3 linked regions of the Mus musculus genome follow. The protein of the gene in region 2 purifies or fractionates together with the protein of the main gene of each other region. This does not show direct contact. Links are inferred from orthologs where the notes say so. Each region holds a gene or a part of one and is shown on either strand. Other genes may lie near its edges. The genes, in order: Casp8, Tradd and Birc2.

Region 1 (4,295 bases), on a different chromosome or scaffold from region 2:
GGATGTTCTCCTTGCTCCTAGTTCGATAGTTTCTACTTACAGCTAAAACAGAACAAAACAAAACAAAACAAACAAACAAACAAACAAAAAAACAAAAAAAACCAACCAACCAACCAACCAAACAAACAAACAAACAAAAAATAAGCCTAAAGTCAAAATCAGGGCTTTCCTACAGCAAACTCCCCAAAGAGGCAAACCCTGGGTCCTTCATTGTGTGAGCAAACCTGTGTACAAACACATAAGCTCCTTGCTGGGAATTAGTTAAAATATTTTCTGGTGTTAAAGAGAAGAAAAAGAAAAGGACTTTGAAACTGTGTTTTCTGCTACCTAAAATAGAATGTAAACTTTCAGAGTAAAGAGCGCCAACTTCACAGCTGAGGGAACTGAATGAGGCGCCCAAAAGCATATGTCCACCCTCGATGTCTGGGCAAAGGTGACACCATCGTACCAGGACCTTTAGCTGGCATTTGATTCTGCCCAGGAACCTGGGCACCATGGAAGCAGCAAAATCAAATCCTGTCTGTGGCCCAGTCCACTCCAGGAGTTACTATAGTTTTCCCAGCATCCTCTATAACCTCTACCCCAGTTCTGGCTCACTGTTTTCTGAGAATTTCCTGTCAGAGACCACGAACTTCCTGTGAGTGCAGCAACTGAAGCTCTCATGGTAATACTTGAACCACATAACAACAGCCTGAAAATCATCAATGAGAAGATACTGTGTAAAGAGGCAATGAACCTCTGTACAGGGGCAATGGGGGTGTGGTCTTGCTGGAAAAAACACATGGAGCTCCCCTATAGGCACTAAGCCCATGAGAGCATAGGATGACACATCACATGGGTCAGTAAATCCGAGGAATGTCAAATAAAGCAAGAAGATGCCCACTTTCTTATTAGAATTTCTTTTAAGTTGGAAGATTAAAAAAAAAGAAAGAAAGAAAAGAAAAGAAAAAGAAAAAAGAGCAACCTGATAGGGTGAGGTGGTCAGGCTATGCAGGCTGCTGGAGAAATCATATTAGTTCCTGGAGTGAACCTACCCACAAACAGAAATTACTGGGCAAAATCAAATAACAGCTAAATGGCCTGCTATGGGGTCACCTTTCTCCCTCCTGGGAAAGAGACATGGGAGACACACAGCCATGACCAGCAACTCCTCTGTGTCCACATACGAGTTCTTGAGTCTTCTTTAAATAGGTTTGTAAGAAACGGGAGCACTAATCGTCCTCATGCTAATTCAATCAATGCCATATTTATTTAAAAAAAGAAAGATTTGTCGATGAGACAACTCAGGAGTTTAAGAGCACTCAATGCTCTTGCAGACCACCTGGGTTCAGTTTCCAGCACCCATATAATGGCTGAAACTGTCTGTAAATCCAGTTCAAGGAATCTGTGCCGCCACCCCCCCCCCCCCCGCCCAGTACCAGGTGCACATACATACATGCAGGCAAAATACTCATACTCATGAAATTAAAATAGAAATAAATAATTTTTTAAAGAATGAAACTGAGACCTAGCCAAGCAGAAGGCACTTAGAGGACTCCCTTTAAAAAGACAAAAAAGAAAAAGAAAAAAAAGAAAGAAAAAAGAAAAGAAAAGAAAAGAAAAGAAAAGAAAAGAAAGGAAGGAAGGAAGGAAAGAAAGAAAGAGAAAGAAAGAGAGAGAGAGAGAGAGAGAGAGAGAGAGAGAGAAAGAAAGAAAGAAAGAAAGAAAGAAAGAAAGAAAGAAAGAAAGAAAGAAAGAAAGAAAGAAAGAAGAAACAGAAATATGACTGTATGATAATTCCTTACAGGTACTTAACAAGCCAGTCACCCTTACAACTGCTTAGCACGTAGAGGAATTACCGGCCTCAGGTCACCTGTAGCCCCCTCCCTCCCTCCTCTCTCATCCCCTCTCTGTGGGGGTTGGGGTGAGGGGGTGGGGGGTTGGTGTTTTAAGTGCAGAGCTAGTGCCCTACGACCCCCCACCCCCTGTACTGCCAGCACTCAGGAGGTGGAAGCAAGGTCGTAAGTTCAAGAAGCCTGAGCTTCTGCAGGAAATCATGAAACCAAAGAGGGACAGAGGGAGGGAGGGAGAGAGGAAGAGGAGAGGGAGGGAGAGGAGAAGGCAAAGAGAAGAAGAGGGAGAGAAAAAGGGAGGGGAGATGTTGGAGGAGAAGGAGAAAGGAAGAGAGAATTTGGGATTAGAGTTGATGGACGTCTGAGTTGGGAAGAGCACGAAAATCGCCGGAGGAAACGCAGCTCAAGCTAGAGGACTCCCCGGAGGATTAACTCAGCTCCAGGTCCTGAGCCAAACTACAAAGAAAGTAAGCCTAAGAAGTCCAATAAAGTTTTCTGGAGAGGCGGCGACGGCACCCCGATGGCTGCATTTCGGGGAGCGCCACGCGAGATCGACACCCACCGGTGGGATCTCGGCCCGCTGGTGGGAAAGGAACCCGACTGCTCTGCAGCACTCACCTGTGGCCGAGTACCTGCCGCGCCGGTCACAACTCCAGCTCGGGCGAGGCCTCCGCTGGCTTGGGCTTTCCGAGCCTCCAGCCCGGGCCGGCGCTCCCCAGAACTGTACTCACTTCCTGTTCCACGCCGGCTCACAGAGGTTTGCTACCGATTCCGAGAAGCTGGACTTTTAAGCACCGAAGTCAGAATGAAAGACAACTGAGAGAACTAGGGCATAGGGGACAGAAATGCCTCCGAATGTTTAGAGGCGTTTGAGTTAATCATTAGAGGTGGCATCCTGGTGCCAGCCCTAGAGGCCATAGGCTGCTTCGCTTTCTGCCCGCCTTAAGAGCTCCCGCCAGTTCTGGAGGACACTTCCTTATTCCCCCAGTCCAACCACACCTCCTTTCACGCAGAAACCCTCTGCTCTAGAAATGTCAGCACTCTCGGAGGTAGGGACAGGAAGATTAGAACAAGCAAGTTCCAGGCTATCCCAGAGACAGTGGAACCAGAGCTAATGGAATGAACGAACGAACACACACACACACACACACACACACACACACACACACACACACAAAGTTTAAAGGAGCCAACTACAAGAAGAAAGTGATTTCACACTGAACCAAACAACCAGCTATGCTGAGGGCCTAGGTCAGATCCATCAGGATCGCTGATTGTTGGTTCAGTCTCTGTGAGTGCCTATGAGGCCAGGTTAGTTGATTCTGTGAGTTTTCTTGTGGTGCCCTTGAGCTCTGATTCCTACAATCCTTCCTCCCCATATCCTGTAGGATTCCCCAAGCTCTGCCTATTGTGTGGCTGTAGGCCTCTCTGATGGCGACTATGTTAGATTTCTGTCTACAAGTATGGCAGAATATGATTAGAAAACATTTCATGCTTTTTTTTTTTTTTTTTTTTTTTTTTGGTCATGTTCAGTTCTATCTTAGCTGTCTGGGGCATCCAGCCTCTTGTTCCTGACCTCCATGAATTCAGTGTCAGAGGTGGCCTCCCTCTTGTGGCACAAGTCTCAAGAGAGACTAGTAATTGGATGGAGACTCCCACAAGTTCTGTGCCATCTTTTCTCCAGCACATCCTGCAGGCAGGATAAATGGTAGGTCAGAGGTTTGGGGTCTGAGTTGGTGTCCCAGTCTCTCCACTGGAAGGCTTGCCTGGCTACAGCAGACAGCTCCAAACCCCTCATTACTAGGAGTCATAGCAAGGGTCACCCTGATAGGTTTCTAGCCCCCACATTCCAGTCTTCTCTGCCATACTCTCTCCCTCCATCCTCGCCCAACCTGATCCCTCTGCTCCCATCCCCACATGCCCCCAGTTCCAATCCCATGATACCTACTCTATTTCTCCCTCCTAGGGAGATGGCTCCTTGTTACTTAGCCTCTCTGGGTCTGTGGATTGTAGCATGATTATCTTGTAATTTATAGCTAATGTCTGCTTATAAGTGAGTACGTACCATGCTTGTCTTTCTGGGTCTGAGTTACCCCACTCAGGATAGGTTTTTGTTTTTGTTTTTGTTTTCTGGTTCCATCCATTTGCTGGCAAATTTCATGATGTTAGGGGTTGTTTGTTTGGTTGTTTTGTCTTGTTTTTTTAACTCTGAATAATTCTCCATTGTGTAAATATACCACATTTTCTTTATCTCTTCTTTGTTTAGTGTATCTGGTTTTATGTTGAGGTTCTTGATACACTTGGACTAGAGTTTTGTGCAGTCAGGGTGGTAGATATAGATCTATATCCAGTTAGACCAGCACCATTTGTTAAAGATGCTTTCTTTTTTCCATTGAATAATTCTGGATTTCTTTATAAAAACTCAGGTGTCCATAGGTGGATTTACATCTGGGTCTTCAATTC
Region 2 (4,257 bases):
CACATACATTAAATACATAAATTTTTTTTTAAACAGAAGTCTCTGCTCAGAATAGTAAATCTCCCTAAAGGCTTAAAGGTATAGTTCCAGTGGTTGTGCCTACACACACACACATACATACACACACGCACACACACACACACACACACTTTCCTATCTACCCTCTCTTTTTTTTCTCTTTTCTCATCTCTGCTGTGTGGCCCTGGCTGGTATTGAACTTGAGAATACTCCTGCCTCAGTGGTTTGGTTTTTCTTTCTTTTTTAAAAAATAGGGTCTCACTGTCTAGCCTTGGCTGGCCTGGAACTCCCTATGTAGACCAGGCTGGCCTTGAACTCACAGAGATCCTCCTGCCTCTGCCTGGGAAAGCTATGACTAAAGGTGTGTGTCACCAAGCCTGGCCCTCACTGGCTCTTCAAACTACTTTCTCGTGTGTTGAACAAATGAGAAATAGGTTTCAAGTTGAGGAATCCTGTCCACTAGAAACTGACTGTTGGGGCTAATCAGGCACCAGTCTTAGAGAATATTTTTTGTTTGTTTCTTTTTGTCTGAAATCACAGGCCAATCAGGAAGTGATGGGCGTCCCAGAAGGGGAGTCACCTTTACACTGCCTCCACCCCCTAGTAACGGACTGACTTCCTGCATGCTTTCTGTGACAGACCTGTGGTAAAAAGCTTGTGGCTCTGTCTGGGGCCGGACCGCTCTGGCACCCTTGAGGAGCTGTTGTTCAAGTTAGGACCCTGACCCTCGCGGAGCCTTGGTTCCTGCTAGCTAATAAAGACTCGGGTGGAACCCTGCAGACACACCCCAGAGCTTGGCTTTTACGAGAGGGGTGGGATCGGAATCTGCGTTTTCTCTGAAGCTGCCAGTTTTGCTTCAAAGTGCTGTAAGGTTTTTGTAAAGGTTCACACTTGCCGTTTCATTTCCCCATGTCTTCCAGGTGTATGGTCTCTCGTGGAATTTACCTCAAGTATACACTAGAGTTCCCGGATACTCCAAGCTAGGCTTGTCCTGGAACCACAGCACCCCATTTTCTGTGTTAAAGACTAGCAGAGATTAGATCATCAAACCAGATTTCCTAGGGGGCGCCAGAAAAAATTCTCATCTCCAGGAGATGCCCTCTGATTGAACCCCAGGAACTAACTTAAATTTGGCGGCTCTCACTCTGAAGCCCTTTCGGCTTCAAAACCCCCAAACTGCTATGTCCAGTGGGCAGTTCGTCCTGCCATCTAAACTTGGGTGTCCGTTATCTTACCTGCTCAGCGGACTAGGTGGGCTTTACCCGGAGACAGGGGACTGGCCACGGAGGACAGCTAGGGCAGGAAGGAGAGGCCCTGGGCGGAGAAGGCGGGACGCGCGGGCGGACCCGGCGACTCTGCTAGGGCACCGCCCCTGCGTCTCCGCGCACACCCGGAAGCCGCGCGCAGCAGAGCCAGGCGAGTGTGCGGCGGCCAGGTTAGTGCGGAGGGTGGGTGGGCTCCCTCGGTGCAGCCCCAGCAAAGCGAGAGATCTGGCTTCCCGAGGGCGAGCACCGCGCGGTGGTGACACGCGATTGCTGGCCAGTTAGTGGCAGCGGCCGGTCGGACTGTTTTGGTGGGAGGTACGAGGGACTTCGGACCTCCACCTTCTCTGGTTTTTTGTCCCAACTAAGGGTTTCTGGTGGGTGTCAGGGCCCTGCGGAGGAGGGGATATGGCTGCAGGGCTGGCCGGGAACGGTTCTGAGAACCCTCTTCCTGTCTGAGCCCAGTCGTGCGCGAACCCCCAGTTTGAAGGTGGGGTAGTGGGCAGACTGGGAACCTTCCTAGGCCAGGTCGCTTACTGCGCACCCGAGCAGGGGGCGTGTTCTGATGGTCTGGGAATCTCAAACTTTCTTTGAGTTGGGAGCCAAGCCCTTCCACCTAGCCAGAAGTGGGGCTACCTGGGGACTGTTATTTGTTAATGAGACCGGACATCTGGGTAGAGTCATTTGTTCTGGAACCCAGCGTAGAAGCCTCCTGGTGGAAGGAGGCCTGAGAAGGATTCTTTTTTCATTTTGGTTTTCCGAGACGGGGTTTCTCTGTGTACCCCTGGCTGTCCTGGAACGCACTCTGTAGTGCCAGGCTGGCCTCGAACTCACAGAGATCTGCCTGTCTCTGCTTCCTGAGTGCTGGGATTAAAGGGGTGCACCACCACCACTCGGTTTGGAAACGAATTTTTTTTTTTAAAAGACACACACACACACACACACACACACACACACACACACACACACACACACACGAGATTCAGATGCACCAGAAGAGGGCATCGGTTCCCATTACAAATGGTCGTGAGCCATCATGTGGATGCTGAGAATTCAGGACCTCTGAAGAGCAGTCAGTGCTCTTATCTGCTGAGGGAAGGATTCCTAAGGGGACAGTGAGAAACCAGTTCCCTCCATCTTGTCTGTTCTATTAACCTCACTTCTCCAACTCCGCGAACTCCAAGGCGGCTATTTCCCCTATTTGCCCAGTACTAGTGAATTTACATATCGATTACTCTGCCATCTCCAGCTCTACCGCACTTGTGCTGACAGGCCTGGTGGATAGTACCCCGACACACACCAGTACAGTTCCAAATCTTCTCCTACCCCTTGGGATGGGATCACATCCATGGGATAGAAGGGTAGGAAAGTGAACTAGATGTTTCATGAATCACGAGCTACTTCTTAGACGTCCTTGCTTGTTTTATACCTCGGTAGCTGAAGAGTTACATCGTGATGTTTTTGCCTTACTTTTTACTAAAGACATTTATGGGCTGGGGTGGGGCTCAGTGGCTGAGAACTACCGTACACCTGGCTCAGGGTTCAATCCCAAGTACGGAAGTCACTGGAGCCCTGCCCTGTAGAACTTCCTGGTGTTCTTGCTCTTGGTTCCTGAGGGCTGAGGTTACAGATAGGATGCCATCACCTCAAGTTCTCTCCTTTTCTTTTTTGGCTTTTTGAGCCAGGATCTTACTCTGTAGACCAGGCTGCCCCCTCAAACTCAGAGATTTGACTGCCTCTGCCTCCCGAATACTGGGATTAAAGGAATATTTCATTTACAATCCACCTCCTCTGCTTTTTTTTTTTTTCCTTTTTGAGACAGGGTTTGTCTGTGTAGCCCTGGCTGTCCTGGAACTCACTCTGTAGACCAGGCTAGCCTCAAACTCAGAAACCCACCTTCCTCTGCCTCCCAAGTGCTGGGATTAAAGAAGGTGTGTGCCACCACCGCCCAGCGACTCTTTCTTTCTTTCTTTCTTTCTTTCTTTCTTTCTTTCTTTCTTTCTTTCCTTCCTTCCTTCCTTCCTTCCTTCCTTCCTTTCTCTCTCTCTCTCTCTCTCTCTCTCTCTCTCTCTCTCTCTCTCTCTCTTTCTTTCTTTCATTCTTGTTATTTGAGACAGGGTTTCTCTGTGTAGCTTTGGCTGTCCTGGAACTCACTCTGTAGACCAGGCTGGCCTCGAACTTAGAAATCCACCTGCCTCTGCCTCCCGAATAAGAAACATGTCTCTTATATATAAAGTAGGAGATATTGCTTAATACAAAGAAAATTAAAACCATCCCAACCTGCCCAGAGATAGACAATAATTTTCAGACTGTTTTAGTAAATATATGTATATTAGTATTAAATTTTCTGATGGAAGAGGAGTTTCAAAAATCTATGTTCCTTAGCTGGGCAGTGTTGATGCACGCCTTTAATCCCAGCACTTGGGAGAAAGAGGCAGTGGATCTCTTGAGTCTGAGGATAGCCTGGTCTACAGAATGAGATCCAGGGCAGCCAGGGGTACCTTGTCTCAGAAAACAAACACCCCAACAAACCAACCAACCAAAAACATACAAAAACCCCGTGTCCCCATGCTTAGACCTAGATAGGGCCATGGACAGTTCATCATTTCCCTCCACCAGGTCTATGCTATGCCCTGCCCAGGTGCTTTCTTCTTAACCTTGACTCTCTATTAGAGGTTTGGAAGCAAGATTTTAACAGGAGATGGATGGAAGTGATCCTGGCGTTGAGGGGCCCTCATGTCTCATGTGGAAAGTTAGGGAATTTGTTTAGGAATAGCCAAAGAGAACACGGGCCCAATCACAAAGCAGGATGACTTAGCGCGCATAACTGAGCAGTCAAGGATGGTCCGAGATAGCTGGATCCGTGAGTGCATGTCCTGTCCTCAGGCGGGCGTGGCAGCACTTGCAGATAGACCGCTGTGAGTCAGAGGCCAGCTTCCTGTAAAGGGAATCCAGACCAGTCAGGGCCTAGTACACA
Region 3 (3,645 bases), on a different chromosome or scaffold from region 2:
GCAGTCTCCATCTAAGAATATGTCTCCTGTGAAAAGTAGATTTGCACATTCGTCACCTCTGGAACGAGGTGGCATTCACTCCAACCTGTGCTCTAGCCCTCTTAATTCTAGAGCAGTGGAAGACTTCTCATCAAGGATGGATCCCTGCAGCTATGCCATGAGTACAGAAGAGGCCAGATTTCTTACTTACAGTATGTGGCCTTTAAGTTTTCTGTCACCAGCAGAGCTGGCCAGAGCTGGCTTCTATTACATAGGGCCTGGAGACAGGGTGGCCTGTTTTGCCTGTGGTGGGAAACTGAGCAACTGGGAACCAAAGGATGATGCTATGTCAGAGCACCGCAGACATTTTCCCCACTGTCCATTTCTGGAAAATACTTCAGAAACACAGAGGTTTAGTATATCAAATCTAAGTATGCAGACACACTCTGCTCGATTGAGGACATTTCTGTACTGGCCACCTAGTGTTCCTGTTCAGCCCGAGCAGCTTGCAAGTGCTGGATTCTATTACGTGGATCGCAATGATGATGTCAAGTGCTTTTGTTGTGATGGTGGCTTGAGATGTTGGGAACCTGGAGATGACCCCTGGATAGAACACGCCAAATGGTTTCCAAGGTAATTGGTTCTTTTGTTTGTTTTCAAGTCTGGGTTTCTTGGAGTAGCCTTGGCTGTCCTGGAACTCACTCTGTAGACAAGTCTGAACTCAGAGATCTACCTGCTTCTTCCTCCTGAGTGCTAGGATTAAGGGTCTGTACCACCACTGCCAGCCTTGATAATTGGTTCTTAAAAATGTTTATTGTGGCATGGAGGATTGAACCCAGGGCCTCATATCTGGTTGACAAGTTTTCTTGCCTATATACCTTACCTCTTAATTTTTATTGTTTAGAATAAATTTAGGAACACATTGTTAGTGTATTACAATTAGAAATTTTGTATTTGAAACTGATCAGCTATGTGAACTTGGATTCATTTCTAAAATGAATGGACGGTGTTAGTTGTTTTTATTGTGTTAAAATACACATAAAATATACTAATTTAGCCATCTAAAATTTAATCTTCTGTAGTATAAAGTATATGTGTACTGTTTTTTAGTCATCTCCAGACTGAAACTGTATCCCATACACTTGTAAGCACACCCCTGGCACCTACCCTTCTGCCTACGATATCTGAATCTACTTTAGTTACCATAGCCACAACACATGTAAGTGGAATCATACAGTAAAGAGATCTTGGACATATGCATGCCTTCTGTGATAATGAGGAATCATTGGACTCCTTAGGGAATTACAGGAACTTTTAGTCATTTTTTGTATGGTACATGATGAACAGGAATTTTGATGTAACTATTTACATTGTTAAAATATAAGTAGTTTAAAATTATATGATGGGACAGGTAGTGCACCTATGTCAGTTTGCCTTTAATCTCACCGCTGGGAGCAGAAGCATGCATTCTTTGTGAACAGAGACCAGCCTGGTCTACAGAGCAAGTTCAGGTCATCTAGGATTGCATAGTGAGACCCTGTCTCAAAAACAATTATCATGAAGAATCATCAAATTTGTATGTTAGGTCCAGTGTAATGTTAACATTCAGGATTCTGACACCACTTTGAAACTACCCTGGGTTACTTAGAACTGTCTCAAAAAAACAAAACAAAGAGATAAATTTTGACTTTGTTGTTGTTTTTGTCCTGAAAACTGATGTACTTAATTTACTTAAAAGTGTTAATTTTGGCCAGTTGTGGTGGTTTACTCTTTAATTTTAGCAGTTTGGAGGCTGAAGCAGGAGTGTTCCAAGGTCAACGATAGCTTGGGCCTCATTGTGAACCCCAGACCAATCAGTAGTGGAGGTCAAAGAACAGCTCTCCTTCCACTGTGTGAGTTTGGGGATGGAATGCAGGTCATTAGGATTGTGGCAGGAACTTTTACATGCTGAGCTATCTTTTTTTTTTTTTTTTTTTTTTTTAGATATTTTCTTCATTTACATTTCAAATGCTATCCAGAAAATCCCCTATACCCCCCTCCCCCTGCCCTGCTCCCCTACCCACTCACCCCCACTTCTTGGCCCTGGCGTTCCCCTTTCCTGGGGCATATAAAGTTTGCAAGTCCAAGGGGCCTCTCTTCCCAGTGATGGCCGACTAGGCCATCTTCTGTTACATATGCAGCTAGAGACACGAGCTCCAGGGGGTACTGGTTAGTTCATACTGTTGTTCCACCTATAGGGTTGCAGACCCCTTCAGCTCCTTGGGTACTTTTCTCTAGCTCCTCCATTGGGTGCCCTGTGTTCCATCCAATAGCTGACTGTGAGCATCCACTTCTGTATTTGCCAGGCACTGGCATAGCCTCACAAGAGACCATGCTGAGCTATCTTGAAAGCCCATAGAGTTTAAGCCTTCTGTTAATGCAACAAATTTGGCAAGTCGTTTCAGAATCACTTGGAGTTTGGTTTTTAAGAACGTGTTTGGAAAACAAACCAACATGTTCTCCATAATATTGTGCTAGTATGAATTTAGTCTTCATTGTTGGGAAAAAAAACAACAATATAGGAAAGCATGTTGCCTCCAGTCTGCCTTGTAGCATCCAAGAATTCTCAGACTAAAATGTCTCAGACATTGGTACCCTGGGGAAAACTTACAGTTGCTAATGTCTACAGTTTGGATTGAAATGTCAGTTTTAAATGATGAAATCATTTAATTGGCCTTGTATGTTATAATTTGAAGTTTAACTGTTGTATCTAAAATAAAAAAAAACATTTTAAATTTTATTTAAATTGTTATACTTTGTAAAACAAAATTCCTCACAGTTTTAAATAGTTAACTAAGGGAACCAATGTTTTGTGTCAGTGCAGCTCTGAACAGGTTTTAGCTGTAACTATCTTTGATCTCAATAAAGACAAACTGTAACAGATGATCACTAGATTTTAGTATATACAGTTCACTTATTTATCAAATATTTAGGTACCTTCTAAGTAATATTTTAGGTGCCAAGGATTATAATCTGTTGGGAAGGAAGAGTGGAGAAGGAGCAAGTGTACAGTAGTCAGGACTTACTGTACTATGTCTTTATTATTTTGCTGGTTTAGTTTTTGTTAACTTGACACAAACTGGGGGTCACTTGGGAAGAGGGGACCTCAGTTGAAGAATTGCTTCAATCAGATCTTAAAGTAGTCTGTTTTGTAAACTAGTAACTTAATTTCATTTGTATACAAAAACTCTGTCTCTGTCCTTTCCAACAGTTCATGGCTTTAATGTATCTTTTAAAGTTACATCCATTGTTTCTTTTTCATATGATAACTATAGCTGCATACTGTCTTTATAGAACAATTGCAACTATAGTTACAGCTACAGTTACTTTCAGCTCTGTACTGGGGTAGTACTAAGACTGAATCTGGGCCCAGTGTTTGACTGTTATTGTCTGCAGTAGTCTGAAGGTGATTATGTATTTGTCTTCACCTGTAAATTTTTTACTTTCTTATGCTTTTGAGAGGTGCTTATTGTATTCTTTCTTTATAAGCTTACATTATGTGTTTTGTTCTCTTGAAACTCACCAAGCTCCCTGAAGATGAGTATTAATTGCTTATCTGGCAATATCTACCTTTCTCTTTCTTCTTTTGAGTTGGATCTTGGAAAATTATTTTGTTCCTTTATTGTT

The links.
Region 1: the proteins of Tradd (region 2) and Casp8 purify together in Homo sapiens (affinity purification with western blotting; 6 studies listed by BioGRID and IntAct, with this or other methods). This does not show direct contact. The link is inferred for Mus musculus from reciprocal best matches to the Homo sapiens genes TRADD and CASP8.
Region 3: the proteins of Tradd (region 2) and Birc2 purify together in Homo sapiens (affinity purification with western blotting; 3 studies listed by BioGRID and IntAct, with this or other methods). This does not show direct contact. The link is inferred for Mus musculus from reciprocal best matches to the Homo sapiens genes TRADD and BIRC2.

What each region holds. Positions count from the first base shown.
Region 1 is NC_000067.6:58,793,894-58,798,188, reverse strand, and holds the start of Casp8 (caspase-8), read right to left. Parts: upstream 2,816-4,295; 5' UTR 2,451-2,815; intron 1-2,450. UniProt on the Homo sapiens protein: Thiol protease that plays a key role in programmed cell death by acting as a molecular switch for apoptosis, necroptosis and pyroptosis, and is required to prevent tissue damage during embryonic development and adulthood.
Region 2 is NC_000074.6:105,261,757-105,266,013, reverse strand, and holds the start of Tradd (tumor necrosis factor receptor type 1-associated DEATH domain protein), read left to right. Parts: upstream 1-1,419; 5' UTR 1,420-1,453; intron 1,454-4,257. UniProt on the Homo sapiens protein: Adapter molecule for TNFRSF1A/TNFR1 that specifically associates with the cytoplasmic domain of activated TNFRSF1A/TNFR1 mediating its interaction with FADD.
Region 3 is NC_000075.6:7,830,472-7,834,116, reverse strand, and holds part of Birc2 (baculoviral IAP repeat-containing protein 2), read left to right. Parts: coding exon 1-612; intron 613-3,645. UniProt on the Homo sapiens protein: Multi-functional protein which regulates not only caspases and apoptosis, but also modulates inflammatory signaling and immunity, mitogenic kinase signaling, and cell proliferation, as well as cell invasion and metastasis.